4 linked regions of the Macaca mulatta genome follow. The protein of the gene in region 1 purifies or fractionates together with the protein of each later gene. This does not show direct contact. Links are inferred from orthologs where the notes say so. Each region holds a gene or a part of one and is shown in the gene's direction. Other genes may lie near its edges.

Region 1 (4,803 bases):
TGCCTCAGCCTCCCGAGTAGCTGGGACTACAGGCGCCCGCCACCTCGCCTGGCTATTTTTTTGTATTTTTTAGTAGAGACGGGGTTTCAACGTCTTAGCCAGGATGGTCTCGATCTCCTGACCTTGTGATCCACCCGTTTCTGCCTCCCAAAGTGCTGGGATTACAGGCTTGAGCCACCGCGCCCGGCCCCAATTTTTTGTATTTTTAGTAGAGATGGGGTTTCACCATGTTGGCCAGGCTGGTCTTGAACTTCTGACCTTGTGATTCACATGTAACTTTTTTTTTTTTGAGAGGGAATCTTGCTCTGTCTCCCAGACTGGAGTGCAGTGGCACGATCTCGGCTCACTGCAACCTCTGCCTCCCGGGTTCAAGCAATTCTCCTGCCCCAGTCTCCCAAGTAGCCGGGATTACAGTCGTGAGCCATCGTGCCGGGGGTATGTAACATTTTTTTAACAGAGGATGAAATAGTCATGGATTTCCTGCACTCCAGCCTGGGTGACACAGCGAGACTCCCTCTCAAAAAAAAGAAAGTGAATTAATCTATAATCTGAGAACAGAAGTTGTAAACTATATGTGACTCACAGTCATATCTCTCTCGAGGCTTAAAATGTTTTTTGGGATTGCAATAGCTTTTAAATTTTTTCTTTCTCTCTCTCTCTTTCTTTCGTTCTTTCTTAGTGTTGCTCTGTTGCCAGGCTGGAGTGCAGTGGCGCGATCTCAGCTCACCGCAGCCTCCGCCCCCCGGGTTCAAGCGATTTTCCTGCCTCAGCCTCCTGAGTACCGGCTAATTTTTTGTATTTTTAGTAGAGTCGAGGTTTCGCCGTGTTAGCAAGGATGGTCTCAATCTCCTGACCCCATGATCTGCCCGCCTCCGCCTTCCAAAGTGCTGGGATTACAGGCGTAAACCACTGCGCCCAGCCTAAATTTCATTATTTTCTGTAGCTTCCTGGCCTTTCGACTAAGGCTCATGTAAATTTTTTGTTATTTCTACACCAATTTCTGTAGATTATTATGAGAATTAAGGGAGATAATTATATAAAGGGCTTAACACAGTGTCTGGCATTTAGGAAGAAAGCAGTAAGTGGTAGCTATTATTTATTATTATTTTTTGTGATGGAGTTTCGCTTTTGTTGCCCAGGCTGGAGTGCAGTGGCCTCCCAGGTTCAAGCAATTCAGAGAGTTGCTGGCCGGGCACAGTGGCTCACGCCTGTAATTCCAGCACTTTTGGAGGCCGAGGTGGGTGGATCACCTAAGGTTGGGAGTTTGAGACTAGCCTGACCAACATGGAGAAACCCCATCTCTACTAAAAACACAAAATTGGCCGGGCGCTGTGACTCACGCCTGTAATTCCAGCACTTTGGGAGGCTGAGGAGGGCGGATCACAAGGTCAGGATATCAAGACCAGCCTGGCTAACCCGGTGAAACCCCGTCACTACTAAAAATACAAAAAATTAGCCGGGCGCGGTGGTGGGCGCCTGTAGTCCCAACTACTGGGGAGGCTGAGGCAGGAGAATGGCCCGAACCCGGGAGGCGGAGCTTGCAGTGAGCCGAGATCGCGCCACTGCACTCCAGCCTGGGAGACGGAGCCAGATCCGTCTCAAAACAAAAAAAAGAGAGTTGTGGTTTGATGGCCGGTGGGGGGGCGGGGCGGTGGTGAGGGGCGGGGCTTAGTGGTTCACGCCCACGGCTACAAGGCCCAATCAGACCCGTGGAGCAGGTGGAGTTCCGCCCTCGCGGAGGAGGTGGAGTTCCGCTCTCAACGTCGCAGCAGGCGCGGAACTGGGGTTGCGGCGGCTAAGTGTGTTTCCGGTAGATTCCCAGGGGCGGTCGGAGGTGTGGACTGTTCCTGCCTTCATGCTCTGGGAAGATGTTCTACCATGTGAGCAGGGCCCAGGGTGGCGGCAAGGGCTGGGTGGAAAGGAGGAGCAAGGCCAGGCGCCGGCGCGAGGCTCCCCTTGTCGTCTGATAAGCTCCCAGCGCGTGGCCTGGTCGCCATCCCTCTTTTCTCCGCAGATCTCCCTAGAGCACGAAATCCTGCTGCACCCGCGCTACTTCGGCCCCAACTTGCTCAACACGGTGAAGCAGAAGCTCTTCACCGAAGTGGAGGGGACCTGCACAGGGAAGTGAGTGCCGAGCTCACCGCGCCGCCAGATCGTTCGATGCGCACACGGGTCGCTATACCTGCAAACCATCCGCAACTCCTATTAGTCCTGCCACCCACTCTAGGGACCCCGCTCACCCTCTCAGGCAGCCAGTTGCTTCCTGCTTTGGGTTCCCAGGGCGCCCTCTGCAATGCTGGACAATAAGACTTCCTTCCCTCAGCTGAGATTGGTCATTCATTCATTTACTCCTCAGACATTTTAAAAACACTTGGTGTGTGCCAGGACCCGTGTTGGGCTCAGAACAAGGTAGAATGGGAACAAGATAGAATGAGGCCAGCTCTTGTGGAGCTCACAGTGTAGTCATTGTTCCTGTGTCTCCTCTCACTCTGTCATTCTGCTGGTTTTCTCTTATCCCCTGTGTCCAGGGACCACACACCGTGGGCCTCTATATATCTTCTGAATGGATGACCAGAAAAAGTGGATCGAAAGTTTGGGGGAGGAAGGAAGTAGACTGGGACTTGACCATCTCTGGGCTTTGCACTGAGGGCCTTCTGTGATATTAATGAGCTGGGACCCAGCCCAGGGCAGTGGAGTACTTGGGCCTCCAGCATCAGAAAAACCTGCAGGAACATGCAGATTCCTGAGCCTCCTTATTCCCTACAGAATCAAGACTCTGTGAGGCAGACCTGAGAATCTGCATTTTAAGAAGATGATTCTCAGGCATCCCGAAGATTGAGATCTGTTTCCTCAAGGACTCCAGCCTTCTTGTACATTTACTGTGAAATTACCAGAACAGCATTTGGTCTTATACATACTGATCTGTGTTCTTTTTTTTTTTTTTTTTTTTATGAGACGGAGTCTCGCTCTGTCGCCCAGGCTGGAGTGCAGTGGCCTGATCTCAGCTCACCGCAAGCTCCGCCTCCCGGGTTCAGGCCATTCTCCTGCCTCAGCCTCCCGAGTAGCTGGGACTACAGGCGCCCGCCACCTCGCCTGGCTAGTTTTTTGTATTTTTTAGTAGAGACGGGGTTTCACCGGGTTAGCCAGGATGGTCTCGATCTCCTGACCTCGTGATCCGCCCGTCTCGGCCTCCCAAAGTGCTGGGATTACAGGCTTGAGCCACCGCGCCCGGCCCATACTGATCTGTGTTCTGTCTTCTCTTGGTCATTAAGCTCTCTGGGAGCAGAGGTGCTATCTACTTGTCCTTTTGCTCTCCCCGACACTACTCCCAAGAGCTCAGTGACTTTTATTGCAGATGTCTCTAGAGGCTCTTGGACACACAATGTCTTTCTGTTTCTCATCCTCCTTGCAGGTATGGCTTTGTAATTGCTGTCACCACCATTGACAATATTGGTGCTGGTGTGATCCAGCCAGGCCGAGGCTTTGTCCTTTATCCAGTTAAGTACAAGGCCATTGTTTTCCGGCCCTTTAAAGGGGAGGTCGTGGATGCTGTTGTAACTCAGGTCAACAAGGTGAGACCATACGTAGGGGAGGCATTGGGGTAGTCTCTCAGTAGATCTGGGTTGGGTCCTGGCTCCACTTCATAACTGTGCCTTCAGCTAAGTCACTTTACTTCTTTTTTTTTTTTTTGAGATGGAGTGTTGCTCTGTCGCCCAGGCTGGAGTGCAGTGGTGCCATCTTGGCTCACTGAAACCTCTGCCTTCTGGGTTCCAGTGAGTCTCTTGCCTCGGCCTCCCAAGTAGTTGGGACTAAAGGCAGGTGCCACCATGGCCGGCTAAGTTTTTGTATTTTTTTTAGTAGAGATAGGGTTTTGCCATGTTGCCCAGGCTGATCTCGAACTCCTGAGCTCAATCTGCCTACCTCGGCCTCCCAAAGCGCTAGGATTACAGGTGTGAGCTACCACGCCTGGCCATCACTTTACTTCTTGTGCTGCACTTTCAAATTGTATGGTAATCTTCCCTGCCCAACTCAGAGGGCAAGAGTCAACATTAATAGTCATAACAATAAAAGCCTGTGTTGATTGAGTAGTGACTGTGGGCCAGGTGAAGTGCAGAGACTCACAATGACTAAAAGGTGGGTGCTTTCCTTTTTTTTTTTTTTTTTTTAAGATGGAGTTTAGCTCTGTCGCCAGACTGGAGTGCAGTGGCACAATCTTGGCTCACTACAACCTCCGCCTCTGGGTTCAAGTGATTCTCCTGCCTCAGCCTCCCAGGTAGCTGGGACTATAGGCATGCGCCACCACGCTCAGCTAATTTTTGTATTTTTAGTAGAGATGAGGTTTCTCCATGTTGGTCAGGCTGGTCTCAAACTCCCGACCTCAGGTGATCTGCCTGCCTCAGCCACCGAAAGTGCTGGGATTGTAGGCGTGAGCCACTGCCCCCGGCCAGTGGGTGCTTTTTACAGAAGCTGAAGCTTAGAAGAAGTTAAGTGTATTGGCCAAGATCATGTGGCCAACAGGTGTTCAAATCTTGGACTAACAGGCCTAAGCTCTTTAATACTTTAAAATGAAAGGTTAGGCTGGGCATGGTGGCTCACATCTGTAATCCCAGCACTTTGGGAGGCTGAGGTGGGCAGATCACCTGAGGTTGGGAGTTCAAGACCAGCCTGGCCAATATGGTGAAACCGTATCTCTACTAAAAATACAAAAATTAGCCAGGCATCGTGGCATGTGCATGTAGTCCCAGCTACTCGGGAGGCTGAGGCATGAGAATCACTTGAACGTGGGAGGTGGAGGTTGCAGTG
Region 2 (5,042 bases), on another chromosome or scaffold:
ATGCACAGTTGTCTTATTCCTCCTCTTCCTCCAAGCTAAGACGCTTTACCATGAAACCTCTACTGGACTGAGGTGCAGCAGCCCCAAGCCCTTTTCTGGTTGCACTTGACACAGCTGAAAAGGGTTGGCATTTTTCAAACTTTCCCAAATATTGAGGGTGGAAAAAACCCCCACAAGAGTACAGTCAAGTTATTAAAGTGACAGAATTACAAAACAGAAGATTGGGGTTGGGAAAGAAAAAAGAAATGCTCCCCGGTTCCCACCTAGATTTGAGTTCCTAAAATCCTGCCTCTTGCACACCCCTTTTTCTTTCTAAGGAAGCTAGTATCTCCCACCTTCTCAAGAAAACAATGAGTGCTCGATTAGATTTAAATCCCATCCCCAAAGAAAGGAAGCAGTCTTCTAAGTTCTCAGCCCCATGAAAACCACCAAGCACTTTCTCTACCAATCCCCATATTTCCAAGACTAGTTTTCTCCTGCAGTGTTGTCGCAGGAGAAAAGGGTCTGGAGGCAGGAAACCTAAGGCCGATTCACACTGATTTCCTAGAACTGAATCAAAAAGAAAACCCCAACTTTCCACACCTAAGTAACAAAAGAACCAGACACTACTCCCTTTGCAACCCCCTCCCCCCCACAACCCCCCTACAACTCCCTCCCACATACAATACCCCCCAATACCCCCCTCTCAACACCCCTCCCCCCAACACACACACACTTTTTCTGTGTGGCAGATGGGAAATTGAAAGTATCTCTGATTGGTTGCAGAAAGCAACCAATCAGACATTTGCATAGGAGTGTAACTTTGTAACTTCTCTTTAGCCTCTGATTGGTTGCTTTTCACAACCAATCAGACTGATTGTGGAGTCACTACTTCATTTACATAGGGTGTACACCAAGTAACCGATGGGAAACCTCTAGAGGATATTTAAACCCCAGAAAATTCTGTAAAGGTAGTCTTGAGCTCCTCTGCCCTGGTCGCTGCCGCTCTGTGGCGTGTACTTTCGTTTTCAATCTGCCTTTGTTGCTTCATTCGTTCCTTGCTTTGTGCGTTTTGTCCAGTTCTTTGTTCAAAACGTCAAGAACCTGAACACCCTCCACCAGTGTTATTGTTGTTAGTAGTAGTGGTATTACTATTTTGACGTTAATTTGGCTAATCTAGGGATATTTTGCATTATCTAGATGTTCTGCCAAGTTTTCTATACGTAGCTATCAGCCAAATTTGCAAAGGCCATGAAAAAAAAAAATGATCAGAGTATGACCCATATCGTCGTGCCTCTCATGCACACATTGGTCTCACGTAATTTTGTTTCATCTCCTGCCAATTCTAAAAGGGTATGCAAGGCAAGATACTATAACCTATATAAACCTACATACCCTGTATCAAAACGACGTGCCTAAGAAGATAACATGCTAGTTGATGACAGAGCCTGAAGAGACACCTGTTCTGGATGACCTAAGTGAATTTCTCTTTTTATTTTGAATTCCTTAGAAAGAATCACCCTTGGGGCACGTAAGAACCGGCTCAAATGGGAGTGCCTGAAGCCGGGTGGGGTACTGGGGCCGGGGGGTGGCGGTGAGAAGGTGGGAGAGGAAGGGGTGGTTAGACTTTTAGGGATGCAGGCTTTGGCACCACTACGAAGCCAGGGTTTTCTTCGTGTTTTAACTCTGTCAGATTGAGAGTAGCTCTGTTGTAGCCCCTTTGCAGGGTTCCCATGAGACTCTTCCTAGGCAGTTACGTTGACTCGCTTAGCAACATAGCAAATTACAGAAACGGAATAAAAACGTAAGAAATCTCAAAGCGCGTGACGTATGGGATCTCACTGTTCTTGGCCCTTCTCCCGACCCGTAGCCCCGCTCTGTTACGACTGCGTGGGTGAGTCGTCTATAAAAACTCATCTCTGCGCGTCTCTTCGCCACACTCGTTTCCTGTTTTCGGCGGATCTGTTGTGGCTTGTTGCGGGCACCGCAGTGGCCCTGAAGATGGCGTCTACCAGCCGGTTAGTATGTCCGGCCCAGCCCGGCGAGCTGAGGGGCGGGCGCGAGCGCCGCGGGCTTTCAGGCGGCCTCCGGGCAGCCTAGTCGGACTAAGCACCGAGGGGTATGGGAGAGAAGCGGCGGGACTGGCCGACCGGCCGGGACAAAGGCACTTCCAGACGGCAGGACTGTCAGGGTGTCGGAGGGGTTACCCAGCTGTTGACGTTATTGCTTCGGAGTCTTATGTCGTCTTCTCATGTAGACATCACCCTTTGTGGGTCCTGGTGGGCTTCTGTGTCCCTAGCCCTTGTCCTCGTCTTTTCTGAATATTTCAACCTCCCTTTATTTTCTTCTCCTTCTACCTCCGCCCCTCCCCCAGCTTGTTGTTTTCGTCTACGGCCCAAACAACCCGAGGTCCGTAATTTCTCCTTTTCAAAGGAACGGGAAATAGTTGGTTCCGGGTCCCTATCGATCTGACAGCTAGGAAGTTGGGAACGTCAGCATTGGTAAGCCAGATGGAACCAGGTTACCATCACAGCGGGCCTCGAAAGTGGAAGTTAGAGCCATCGGAAGAGTTGATTAGTTCCATGCTAAAGGATTTGTTTACAAATATCGTTGCCTGTGTCCTTCTGAAGAAAATCTTGCATAAGAAATTTAGTTATGTGTGCTGGGAGGTTGCTCTTCAGTATATATTTAAAAATGCAATGTACTCATATCTACAGGAAATGCATGCAGTACCCTCAGAGACAGCCTTTAATCTTGTGACCTGAAAAATGCTTGCAGACCCTAATTATATCTCTCATTACCACTATGAGGTAGATATTAGTATTTTTGCGTAAGTGTAAACTGAGTCATGCCAATGTTGACTTTACCAAGGATAGTGTTAGAGTGTAGAGTCTAAGATAACCTGTTTCTTGTTATCCACACCTGGCCTTTGGTTAACTAATGCTGTGTTAAAAGTATCAAATTAATTCTACAGGTTCTGGAACTCTGGCACCATTTTTCTGACCCTATCAGCTGTGAAATTGGTTAATTTCACAGTGAAAGCCATTTTTACAAAATAGCCTTTTCTGGTAACTGCCAAGACTTACATTTTATGGTTAGAAGAAAAGAATTTGGGGTGGGATGCGCTTTAGCTAATGTACTGTTTGAACAGAACTTATAAAGCCAGTGACACTCTTGTTTACTGATTCTGATTCTTGGATTGGATGCTCATTCTGTCTGGGTGGTGGTCTGTCAGGTGAGGCCTCCTTGTAGGTAAATAGAAAACTTTGGCTTCCCAAATCACTCAAATATGACTTAAATTCTGTCATGGCTTTTTAAGTCTGAATTTTTTTCTAGATATGTGCAATTTATGTATCATGGCAGTTATTGCTCAAGTTTTTCTATCAGTGACAAAGTTAAATGTAGAATTTTTTATTTTTTGGAACAGGCCTGGGCTGAAGTGCAAGTGGCACAATCATGGCTCACTGCAGCCATGACCTCCCCAGTTCAGGTGATCCTCCCACCTCAGCCTCCTGAGTAGCTGGGACCATAGGTGCACACTAATTTTTTTAGTGTGCCTGGCTAATTTTTTTATTTTTTAATTTTATTACTTTTTATTTTTGTAGAGACAAGGCCTAGTTACATTGCCCAGGCTGGGCCCGAACTCCTGGGCCCAAACAGTCCTCCGACTTTGGCCTGCCAAAGTGCTGTGGTAACAGGTATGAGCCACTATGCCCAGCCTAAATATATTATTTCTATCTTTTGCATGTTTTTCCCTCAGGAAGATGTATTGTTGCTAGGCCGTGAAACTGGCTGGTGACCTCACAGAAGAATACAAATATTTTGAGTTCAAATGTAAGCTTCGCCACTTACTAGTTCCATGACTTCAGGCAAATCATTCTGTGAGCATAATCTTTTAAAATGGGAAATAGGCCTTTCTTGCAGGATTGCTGTGGAGATTGACAATAATGAATGTGTAACACCAGCAATACAGTGCATACCCAATAAATGATAGCTCTAAAATGGGGTTTGGGATTATCTGGTACTTTAGATGTTTTAATGTCAGTGGTGGTGGTTTCCCTATTCCTCCCCATTGTTTCTCTCTGTTACCACCTGCGCCACCCCATTTGTATGGTTCCTCTTTTGTATTGTGGGTAATTTGGTTAAAAGTTTACTAATTTAGCATACTTTTATTTTGATAGGTAACACATACAAATGGTCCAAAAGCAAAATTACAATAGACTAAAACCATGAAAAGTAGGCTCTCAAGTCTCCCCAGATCAGCCATAGTTACTAGTCTTTTGGTGTTTTCCTCGTGCTTATGATTTAACAAGTGTATACAAATAGTTCTAACCTCTCTTCTCCCCAAAAGTGACCTGATTTAAACTCCATTCACTACCTTGCTTTTACCTTTTTTTAATGACATTAGCACGCAGATTTTAAAAGTGGGCAGCTCAGTCACAAAGTGAGCACATACATGGCTACTACCCAGGTAAGGAAATCAGATACCACTAGCACTAGCTAAGACACTAGCAAAGTCTCTGTCCTCAGTCATTCCCCCTCCCTTGAGAAAACCGCATCCTGATTTCTAACACCATCAATTTGTTTTGCCTGCTTTGAAGTTGGCATAAATGGCATATGTATTCTGCTGTCTAGCTTCTGTCAGTATTTTGAGGTTCATCCATGTTACAGTGTATGGCTAGTTTATACTTTTCAGCTTTGTATAGATTTTCTACCTTACTCCTCACTCTTCATATCTTTCAGATGTTTCTGTATCATTACATGAACTAGAGTTTTCTGTCTACTTTTTAATAGTGCAGAGTGTTAGTTCTTAGTACTGTGTTTAATGTGGCCTCCTCTTTTACTCATTTGTAATTAGTACTACTCTGCTAACATTTTCCTTTATTTCAACATAGTTTTTCGTAATTGATAACAACTGTTTGATTTTATTTGTCTTAATATATTAAAATACTTTCCTTAGAGGAATTTATAGAGTGATCACAAATATGAAGTAATACTTACCCCTGCGTTTTCCCAACGAGAAGATTCAAGACATGTTCTGGTTAAGCTGAGTAGATAAATTT
Region 3 (4,938 bases), on another chromosome or scaffold:
CTTTCTCTGAAGCCTGCTAACTGGAGGCTTCATCTATATGATAAAACTTCGGTCTCCACCACTTCTTATGGTAACCTAGATGTTCCTTTAAATCAACTGCCAATCAGAAAAAAATTTAAATCTACCTATAACTTGGAAGCCCATCTTGCCCCACACCTGCTCTGCTTTGAGTTGTCTCACCCTTCTGGATTAAGCCAATGTTTATCTTAAATGTATTTGATTGATGTCTCATGTCTCCCTAAAATGTATAAAACCAAGCTGTGCAACGACTGCCTTGGGCATGTGTTCTCAGCATCTCCTGAGGGCTGTGTGATGGGCCATGGTCACTCATATCTAGCACAGAATACATCTCTTCAATATTTTATGGAGTTTTTTTTTTTTTTTTTTTTTTTTTTTTGTTGACACCACAGACAACCAACTGACTCGAGGAGCTTACCTATTTCTCATTCAGCCAATGCTGGAGCAGGTTATTAACATCCTTGAAAGCAAGTCTTATACAGAGAAAACTTATTTTGATATACTAATGAATCTGATCTGAATGGACTAGATTGGGGGGATAAAAAAATGGTTGCAATTGTGCTCCCTGGAATAGCTTTGGAGTTTACCTAGATCTTCTGTCTCTTTGGGATGGAGCTGCTTGTGTTAATATAGCATCTTACATAGGATTGAGACAACTTCAATTTCCTATATAAAAAAATCGGGGGAGGGCAGTGGTTTTGGAGGTTATGGGGGTGTTCAAACCTCCCAAGTGATATCTGCTGTGACTGCATGTCTTCCTACTGTTTCCATTGGGATGCATCTCTGGTAGGTGAACTATAACAAGAAACTAAAAGCTGTGTCCAATACTTACTAAACTGTCTTCTTCTCAACAGCTGGGGGAAAGAAAAAAAAAAGTCTTTTCAACAATTTTGCACATTTGGAGATAGGCCTAAAGTGAAGAAGGGAATTTTCAAATTGGTGTGTTGGAAAAGCCGCTGGGCTTTTGGGTTTGAAATCTGGTGCTGTCACTTACTGGTTTTGTGCCCTGGGAATATTTATTTCAGTTTTCATGACTCTTTTTCTACAGGCAAAGTAGAAAATTATAAAAGGTCCTCAACCAGTTTGTACAGCTGCTCCCACTCCCTCATCACCTCTTGTGGGCCTTTGGAAATGTATGTTGGGGGAGACATTTTGGATTTTTGCAATTACTTGGGAGTGCCATGGCACCTAGCAGGCAGAAGCCAGAAACACCAAATGTCTTAACAATGCCTGAGGCAGTGCCACAAATGAAGTCCTGCTCCAAATGCAATGAGCCCCGAAAAGAATTGCTGATTCTAAGGAACCTTCCAACTTTAACATTTCAGGACGTCCCTAAGCTGAGCTAGGAGGCACCACACACAGGCCGGAGTCTCCCAAATCCTGTCCCGCACTCTCCTCTACCTTATTAACGGCCAACTCATCTTTCAGGTTTCGACTTGTATTTCACTTCTCAGAGATACCTTCCCAGGTGCCCACCCCAACGTCACTATTATATTATTTGATTCTCCGTCCCTCCGTCCCCCGCGCCAACTCTGTAAACCCCAACTATAACAGAGGACGTGGCTCTTTGTTGACTAACACATAGTGCTTGGTGAGGTCACGCTGGCGCCAAATACTTTTTGTATAAACCTATGAACAGCTGACAACCGGATGAATGCTCACACGAGGGGAAAGGGCGCCAAACCCAGGCGCCGGCGTCCTCCAACGTAATTTCCGCCCTTTAGCGCTCCTCCGGACGCCCCCTTCTCCCGGTCCGTGTTTGTTTCCGGCATTTCAATAAAGCTCGATTCGGCTCGAGGAAGACCCCGTTCTTCCGGGAAAATGGCGACTCCCGCTCGAGCCCCGGAGTCACCGCAGTCCGCGGATCCGGCGCTAGCAGCGGGGCCTGCCGAGGAAGCCGAGTGCCCGCCGCCGCGCCAGCCTCAGCCTGTGCAGAATGTCCTCGCTGCCCCGCGGCTTCGAGCCCCAAGCTCCCGAGGACTTGGGGCAGCGGAGTTTGGTGGAGCTGCGGGAAATGTTGAAGCGCCAGGAGAGACTTTTGCGCAACGAGTAAGCTGGGGTCCCGCGGAGTCTCCGCCAGGCTCCTTCAGCTCGAGCTCCCTGGGCGCTCCCCTCCCCTCCCCCACTCTGTTTCCTTCCCTGGAAGGTGACCTTGCCTCAGTCACATTCGCCTCAGTCCTACGGGCGAGTGGACGGAGGGCTTGCTGTCGCAGAGCCGTGCCTCTTCCTGGCCAGGCACGTAGGCCTGCGAGGATGGCTCGGACTGAACGGCTACTTATTGTTGCAGGCAGTTAGTAGCCCCTCGTTGGTTTTATTTACCCGGGGACTGTGTTAGTTCCATGAAGCAAGAGTCTTCATTCTAAACCCTTTTGTCGCCCGCACCCCTAACCCATAACAAATTGTCAGCTTCGTCTCTGGATTCTACGCTTACAGGAACCGTAGGAAATGGGAAGAGTGGGATATGAAGAGGCGTTTATTAGGCCGGGAAAGTTCGACCCCCAGTCAGCTGGTTGATTTAACGGATTTTAGCAAGGGAGCCACGTGATAAAAGTGATTTTGTTTTTCAGGCAGCTTTGTTTAGCAGCTTGTTGCAAAAGATGGTTTGAAGGAATAAAAAGCGGGAGACAGTAGATGGCTATTTTCAGAGAGGCTCCCCACGAGACAGTTGTAAGAAAGTGAACTAGGAAGGGATTGGGAGAACTTTTAAGCATAGAGTCATTTAAATGTAGTTGACAGAGATGGCTGAGTTTTCCAATTTGTATGGAAGACCACTAGCAAAAATAGGAATATTCAGGGAGAGGAATAGATCCGTGGTTGATTTTACATAGGGTGTTCAGAGTTGAGGGGAGAGCGGGACAGACATTTGACTAATTGAAAACCAAACACTTAAAAGCTGGAGAAGTTGTCATTAGGCTCAAGAAAGAGAGAACTCTGGAAAAATATAGAAAACATAGGAATTTCAGCTGTAGAGTGTTGTTAATAGTTGAAATAGTGGGAATGAATGTAGTGTCAAAAAGAACAAAGGACCTAAGATTTTTCTCTCCATTTATTGTATAATTAAAGAAAAGAGAATCAAAAAAGGAACTCTGTCATCTAGCAAAAGGGACAAATAAATAATTGATTGGGATCAAGGCAGGTGTTTTTACCTTGTGAGAATAGGTTTTTAATCTGTAGTAGTGAATTAACTTTTTGGTCTCAGGACTCCTTTATACTTTAAGATTTTTTGACATCCCGAAGAACTATTTTATGTGTTCTGTCTAGTGAAGTTTATTTACTTATCAGAAATACAGCTGAAGTCTTTAAAACATAAGCATACACAAGCACACATTCTATTCTAGAACAATGATGTCATCATATGTCATGTAGCCACTGGAAAACTCCGCTGTACCCATGTGAGAAAATGAGAGGGAAATAACATCTTAGTATTATTATGAAAGTAGTTTTAAAATAATAGGCCCATCCCCACACTCCACCCCATCCCCAAATTGTGGGGATTGCACTTTAATGACTGCTGGTTCTTAGAATGTCTTATGTGATTATTACATGCTTAAAATACTTTTGCCGAAATTCTAATTTGCTGAGACAAATGAGGCATATATTCCCTATTCCAGCATTCCGTTGTTTTTTTGTGCTGTTTGGATAATGACCGTTTTATTTGTTTTATTCCTGTTTTGGGGCAGTTAGAAATCAGATATTTGACTTAAAAATCAGCTTTTCTTTCTTTGAAGATAATGCTTTGCCTTTTTAATGTTATATGTCAAGTTAAAAACATGGCTGTAATGTGTATGTATTCTTTTCCATTTGACAGAAAATTCATTTGCAAATTGCCCGACAAAGGTAAAAAGATCTTTGACTCTGTTGCCAAACTGAAAGCTGCTGTTGCAGAACATGAAGAAGTTAGAAGAAAAAGTGAACTGTTTCACCCTGTTAGTTTAGACTGTAAGCTAAGGCAAAAAGCAATTGCAGAAGTTGATGTGGGTACAGATAAGGCCCAGAATTCTGACCCGATACTTGATACTTCATCACTAGTTCCTGGGTGTTCCTCTGTAGATAATATCAAGTCATCTAAAACAACCTCACAAAACCAGGGACTTGGACATCCTACTCATGAAGGTGATGGAGAGACTCCAGAGGTTGAATACACAGTGATTAAGGGCCCAGCTTCCAGCAACAGAGACAGGGTACCGTCTTCATCTGAAGCTAGTGAGCATCACCCGCAGCGTCGTGTTTCAAGTCAAGCAGAAGATACTTCCAGCAGCTTTGACAACCTGTTTATTGACAGGTTACAGAGGATCACCATTGCAGACCAAGGTGAACAACAGTCAGAAGAAAACGCAAGTACTAAGAACTTGACAGACCTTTCTAGTGGGACTCAGAAGAAGCCTCATTACATGGAAGTGCTAGAAATGCGAGCCAAAAATCCAGTGCCCCAGCTGCATAAATTTAAAACCAATGTGTAAGTACCATCGGAAACAGGCCTATAACAGGAACATGATATTTGTTAAACTCAAAAAGTTAAGAGAAACTGGGTGTCGTGGTGCTTGCCTGTAGTCCTAGGCTACTCAGGAGGCTGAGGTGGGAAGACAGCTTGAGTCCAGGAGTTGTAGACCAGCTTGGGCAACTTATAATAAGACCTTTTCTCATAAATAAGGAGAATGCTCTAAGTTCCATGGGCTTTGTATGAGAATTACTTGTATTTAGGAAAGAACATATTGTGGAAACACTGAGACCAGCCTGGCTGGAGTGGAAGGTTCATGCTGAAAAATATTTAGTTTTGAAACTAAGTAATTGACAGGGTCTTAAATAGCACTTGGGGGAATATTAAATTTCAGGACGCTTAGCCAATATTTCATAATAAACACAGAGTTGGAGAGAATTTATTATGATGTCTTTTTTTCAGAACTATTTTTTAGTGTACAG
Region 4 (5,003 bases), on another chromosome or scaffold:
GATGAGGCAGGAGAACCACTTGAACCCAGGAGGCGGAGGTTGCAGTGAGTTGAGATTGTGGCATTGCACTCTAGCCTGGGTGACAGAGGGAGACTCCGTCTCAAAAAAAAGAAAAAAAGTTAATGTATCTCCTGATACACTAGGATCCAGCAATCGGCCAAGGATTATGAAGAACAGAAAAGAAACCCAAGAAGACTCCATCCCATCTTTAAGAAGTCTTCAGTAGCACCAGATACAAAAAGGATGGCCATGCGGGTGGATCAGGAGGTCAGATGGAGACCATCCTGGCTAACACGGTGAAGCCCTGTCTCTACTAAAAATACAAAAAATTAGCCGGGCGTGGTGGCACGCGCCTGTAATACCAGCTACTCTCGGGAGGCTGAGGGAGGAGAATGGCATGAACCCAGGAGGCAGAGCTTGCAGTGAGCCAAGATCGCACCACTGCCCTCCAGCCTGGGCGACAGAGCGAGACTCCGTCTCAAAAACAAAAAAGGATGGCCACGGGTGCAACAGGGCACTGTGGGTTGTACTGAACGGCAAACATATCGCAGTTCTTGCTTTTAGGAAATAAAGGAGGGAGAGGAAGAGGAGGTAGAGTCTCCAGCAGTGACTTCAACAGCTCATTGTCTTCACTATCCAGGAAATAGGTGTAAAAACCTGCTCAAGACGAAATAGATTTGTGAAAAAAGGAACTTCAGTATGTGAAGAAAAATGTCAAGATCAGGGCACCTTGGATATTCAGTCATTGGTCTCACTGGCGATTAGAAACTCTCGTTTGAGGTCGGGCGCAATGGTTCACCCTGTAATCCCCGCACTTTGGGAGGCCGAGGCGGGCGGATCACTTGAGGTCAGAGGTTCGGCACAAGCTGGCCAACATGGTGAAACCGCGTCTCTACTAAAAATACAAAAATTAGCCGGGAGTGTTGGCAGGCGCCTGTAATCCCAGCTACTCGGGAGGCTGAGGTAGGAGAATCACTTGAACCCAGGAGGCTGAGGTTGCAGTGAGCCGAGATCGCACCACTGCACTCCAGCCTGGGCAACAGAGCGAGACTCTGTCTCACACTCAAAAAAAAAAAGAAAGAAAAGAAAAGAAAAAAAAGAAAACAAAAAGAAAGAAATCCCCGTTTGACAGAAAGGTGGCTCATGTCACAAGAGGGAAGGAACTAGTTTATGGGCCTGGACGCCCCCAGCTGAACTGGGGGACATCTTCCTCCTCTGTTCCCGCCGCCTCGCCTTTCGGTGGACACACCGTCCTGTGCCAGACAGCAAATGTCCCAGTAGGGCTCGCAGCGCCCCCTCGGGGCAGAGAGATGCACGCGGGCGACTGTCGCAGTCACCTCGTGGCCACTGCACCAAACGCTTCTCCGAGGCTTCCCTCAGAGGCCCTCCCTCAACCGCGAGGCAGTCCTCCCCTCTTCCCTCCCGTCCACAACACAACTGTTCCCCGCCTCTCACTTGAGGGCACCGGAGCCAGCCCGAGACGCACGGCCGGCCGCAGCCCTCCTCACGGGGCTCACGACCCGGGGGCCCCACGCTGCCACCCCTTGCCCCGGGGCCCCCAACCTCACCCGCCGCCGCCACCCTCGGTCCCGGCCACTGCGGGCGGCTCTGCAGAAGAGCTACGCTCCGTCCAGTCGGACCCAGGACCCTGGCCCGGCATCTCCGCGGCGCCGAGACCGCGAGCCGTGTGCGGGAGCAGCTGTCCCAGCGTCCCTTCCCTGACAGCACGCGTGCGTCAGGCGGCTGGTATTCCGGAGAGGCGGTTCAGATGCCGGCTTCTCGCCCCTCCGAAGCCGTTCGGACACTACCCGAAGAGCTTCGGGAGAGCGGGGCGGGCAGATCCGCGACCCCGGAGTTACGGTGGGGGAGGGGCAGGAGCGCTGCGGTAGCTGAGCGTTTGCACGTTTGCACCTCTGTGGAAGCAGTGCGTCACAGGAGGGAAATATACATGCTCCCCAAAACAAGAGGTGCTTTCCACTTCAGTATTCCAGATCCTCAACACATTTGCAAATCGCGAGGGTCACCATATAGGTCAAAAGTCTGCACGCAAACCACGGACCGAAGCACGCGGCTCAAGGATGCGGAGCTTTATCTGTTATCCGTTATTACCCAGGTATCCAAGCTTAGGCTGCATCCCAACGGCCGATTTCCAACAACTACTTCTGCGCACGCGCATACCATCTCCTTCACCCCTCCACTTTTGTCTCAGGATGCTTTTCTCACCGGATTTGGCCCGCGGGCTGTCCCGTAGAAGGAGGTGTGGTAGAAATGGAGACGTAGAAAGAATGTGGATTGCGATTGGTTCGCACTTCACTTTCCCGGAACTCAGTGGGCGTCGCGCGAAGGCTGAGGGAGTGTGGCGGGCGGCTCCGGGAGCCGACATGCCTCGGTATGCGCAGCTCGTCATGGGCCCCGCGGGCAGCGGGAAGGTGAGGATCTGAGGGGACAAGGAGAGAAAAGTAGGGGTTCATGGGAGGCGGGAGGTTGGATCCTGAGGGAGCGAGGCGGCGGGTATGTGTACTGGGAACCCTGAGACCCCACGCAACTCATTTATGCTGTCTGGCTTCATGTTTTTTGTTGTTGTTTTGAAAGGGAAATAATGGTAGTTGTTAATATTTATTGGATACTTAAGCCCCAGGCAGTAGATTAAACGCCTTGCTGATTTCTACAACAACCCTGTGAGAGAGATCTCATTCTCATTTTGCAGACAACGAGACACAGAAAGGTTAAGTTCTTTGCCCAGCAAAAAAATTTAAATCCAGTTTTGTCTAAACTCCAGAATCCGGCCCTGTTTCGCTCCCAGAAGGGTAAAGTGGGGTCTCGTTAATTACTGTTTCTCAGAACTTGGAACATGGACTTTTGGTATTTAAGGTGCTTTTAGGTGGTACATGGACCCAACATTAAGGAGCATCAGATCATGTATTGAGGAAATTGTTGCCTTTTCATTTCTCTTTCAGTTCTTCGCATTTAGGAGAAATTGTGCTCGGTGCTAGTGTGTATCTTCAGCACTTATTTAATCCTCAGGTCTTTTCAGAGAGCAGTTCTTAGTCTCAGAGCTTTTAATAGGCACTTGTATTTAGCTAAAATTAAGAACATTTAAAAGTTTTATATAATTTTATGTCTAACTTCACGTTATGTCAAATATAACTGGTTTTCAGTTTACAGTAGGGATAAAATTTTTTCTTGTAAACAAATATTAAGGAAATGTTAGGAACATTCAAATACAGTGGGAATGGTGAAGATATGGATCAAATAACAGATGTGTGGGAAACATAGCCAGGCGTGGTGGCTCACGCCTGTAATCCTATCACTTTGGGAGGTGGAGGTGGACGGATCGCCTGAGCCAGGAGTTTGGGACCAGCCTTGGCAATACGGGGAAACTCTTGTCTTTACAAAAAAATGCAAAAATTAGCCAGACCTGGTGGCAGGCACCTGTAGTCCCAGCTTCTTGGGAGGCTGAGGTGGGAGGATTACCTAAACCCAGGAGGTTGAGGCTGTGGTGAGTGGTGATCGTGCCACTGCACTCCAGCCTGAGTGACAGAGATACTGTCACAAAAAAAGAAAAAGAAAAACTGGGAAACACTAGAGTCTGTGGAGGTGTTGTGTGGCCTTAGTTTTTAACAAACACATTGTTCTAAGCTGTTGAGTTATTCTGAGTAAAAAACATGTACATGTAACTAAGATACGTATGACCTTTAACTTACCCAGAGTCTGGAGTCTTTTGGGGAAGACAAATAATGACCTGTCAATTAAGATACAATGTGATGTGGCCAGGTGTGGTGGCTTAAGCCTGTAATCCTCGCACTTTGGGAGGCTGAGGCCAGCAGATCACTTGAGCCCAGGAGTTCAAGGTCAGCCTGGGCAACATGGTGAAGCCCTGTCTCTACCAAAAATACAAAAATTAGCTGGGTGTGGTGGCCAGAGCCTGTAGTCCCACCTACTCGGGGAGCTAAGGCTGGAGAATCGCTTGAGCCTGGGTCAAAGCAGCAGTGAGCTATATGATGGTGCCACTGCACTCCAGCCTGGGTGACAGAGTGAGACCCTTTGTCAAAAAAAAAAAAGATACAGACAGAGACAACAGTATGTGTAAAGGCACTGAGAGGACAGCAAAATGGATTTTTTTTTCTATAGTCTATTTTAATTTTTGTACTGATTGTGTTAAACAAGTATCTTTATAAGCTTTTGATGCCTACTATCAGAAACATTTGTTGAGTATGTTCTTTCTCCCAAGCATGTTTTGGGCCCTGGAGGTTGTGTGGGGAAAAAAACAGGCACACACAAAATCCCTGCCCTGTGGAGCTTATCTTTAAACATAATAAGTCAATTAGAAATAATTATCAAGTATTTATTATGTAGTAGGTATTGTGCTAATCCCTGTGCTTGGGAAACTGAATGACACATCTCTGCCTTTAAACAGAGGATGACACAGACAAGTAGCCTAGAATTTTTTTTTTTTTTTTTTTTTTTTTTTTTTTTGAGCCGGGAGTCTTGTTCTGTCATCCAGGTTGGAGTGCAGTGGTGTGATCTCAGTTCACTGCGACCTCCGCCTCCTGGGTTCAAGTGATTCTCCTGCCTCAGCCTCCCGAGGATCTGAGATTACAGGCATATGCCACCACGCCCGGCTAATTTTTGTGTATTTAGTAGAGGCGGGGTTTCACCATGTTGGCCAGGCTGGTCTTGAACTCCTGACCTCAGGTGATCTGCCTACCTCGGCCTCCCAAAGTACTGGGATTACAGGCGTAAACCACTGCACCCAGCCCCAGATTTTAACATAGTATGGTAACAACAACATAAGGGATAAAGAATTATCTAAACCAAACGTTACAAACTGATAGCCACCTCCAAACTATTGACCTTGGCGTTCCTTCATCTTGGAATGCTCTTCCCCTTAGGATGGCAAGCTCATTATCATATACTCAGATATCCCCTACTCAGAGACATCATCCCTGACCATCCTACCTAAAGGTTTGTTTGGATTGTACAAGTCCTGGTAGAGACACTGT

The links. The genes of interacting proteins can lie anywhere in the genome.
Region 2: the proteins of POLR2G (region 1) and GTF2B purify together in Homo sapiens (affinity purification with mass spectrometry; 3 studies listed by BioGRID and IntAct, with this or other methods). This does not show direct contact. The link is inferred for Macaca mulatta from reciprocal best matches to the Homo sapiens genes POLR2G and GTF2B.
Region 3: the proteins of POLR2G (region 1) and POLR2M purify together in Homo sapiens (affinity purification with mass spectrometry; 4 studies listed by BioGRID and IntAct, counting the BioPlex papers as one, with this or other methods). This does not show direct contact. The link is inferred for Macaca mulatta from reciprocal best matches to the Homo sapiens genes POLR2G and POLR2M.
Region 4: the proteins of POLR2G (region 1) and GPN3 purify together in Homo sapiens (affinity purification with mass spectrometry; 3 studies listed by BioGRID and IntAct, counting the BioPlex papers as one, with this or other methods). This does not show direct contact. The link is inferred for Macaca mulatta from reciprocal best matches to the Homo sapiens genes POLR2G and GPN3.

The regions. Positions count from the first base shown.
Region 1 is NC_133419.1:11,297,571-11,302,373, reverse strand, and holds the start of POLR2G (DNA-directed RNA polymerase II subunit RPB7), read left to right. Parts: upstream 1-1,764; 5' UTR 1,765-1,855; coding exon of another isoform or gene 1,856-1,868; coding exon 1,869-1,880; coding exon of another isoform or gene 1,881-2,014; coding exon 2,015-2,124; intron 2,125-3,412; coding exon 3,413-3,572; intron 3,573-4,803. UniProt on the Homo sapiens protein: Core component of RNA polymerase II (Pol II), a DNA-dependent RNA polymerase which synthesizes mRNA precursors and many functional non-coding RNAs using the four ribonucleoside triphosphates as substrates.
Region 2 is NC_133406.1:151,711,425-151,716,466, forward strand, and holds the start of GTF2B (transcription initiation factor IIB), read left to right. Parts: upstream 1-1,929; 5' UTR 1,930-1,980; coding exon 1,981-1,997; intron 1,998-5,042. UniProt on the Homo sapiens protein: General transcription factor that plays a role in transcription initiation by RNA polymerase II (Pol II). Involved in the pre-initiation complex (PIC) formation and Pol II recruitment at promoter DNA.
Region 3 is NC_133412.1:35,009,313-35,014,250, forward strand, and holds the start of POLR2M (protein GRINL1A), read left to right. Parts: upstream 1-1,825; 5' UTR 1,826-1,954; coding exon 1,955-2,067; intron 2,068-3,826; coding exon 3,827-4,474; intron 4,475-4,938.
Region 4 is NC_133416.1:117,634,617-117,639,619, reverse strand, and holds the start of GPN3 (GPN-loop GTPase 3), read left to right. Parts: upstream 1-1,890; 5' UTR 1,891-1,948; coding exon 1,949-2,113; exon of another isoform or gene 2,114-2,158; intron 2,159-2,327; exon of another isoform or gene 2,328-2,381; coding exon of another isoform or gene 2,382-2,429; exon of another isoform or gene 2,430-2,459; intron 2,460-5,003. Other genes in the region: protein FAM216A, read right to left, coding at 1,569-1,660. UniProt on the Homo sapiens protein: Small GTPase required for proper localization of RNA polymerase II (RNAPII). May act at an RNAP assembly step prior to nuclear import.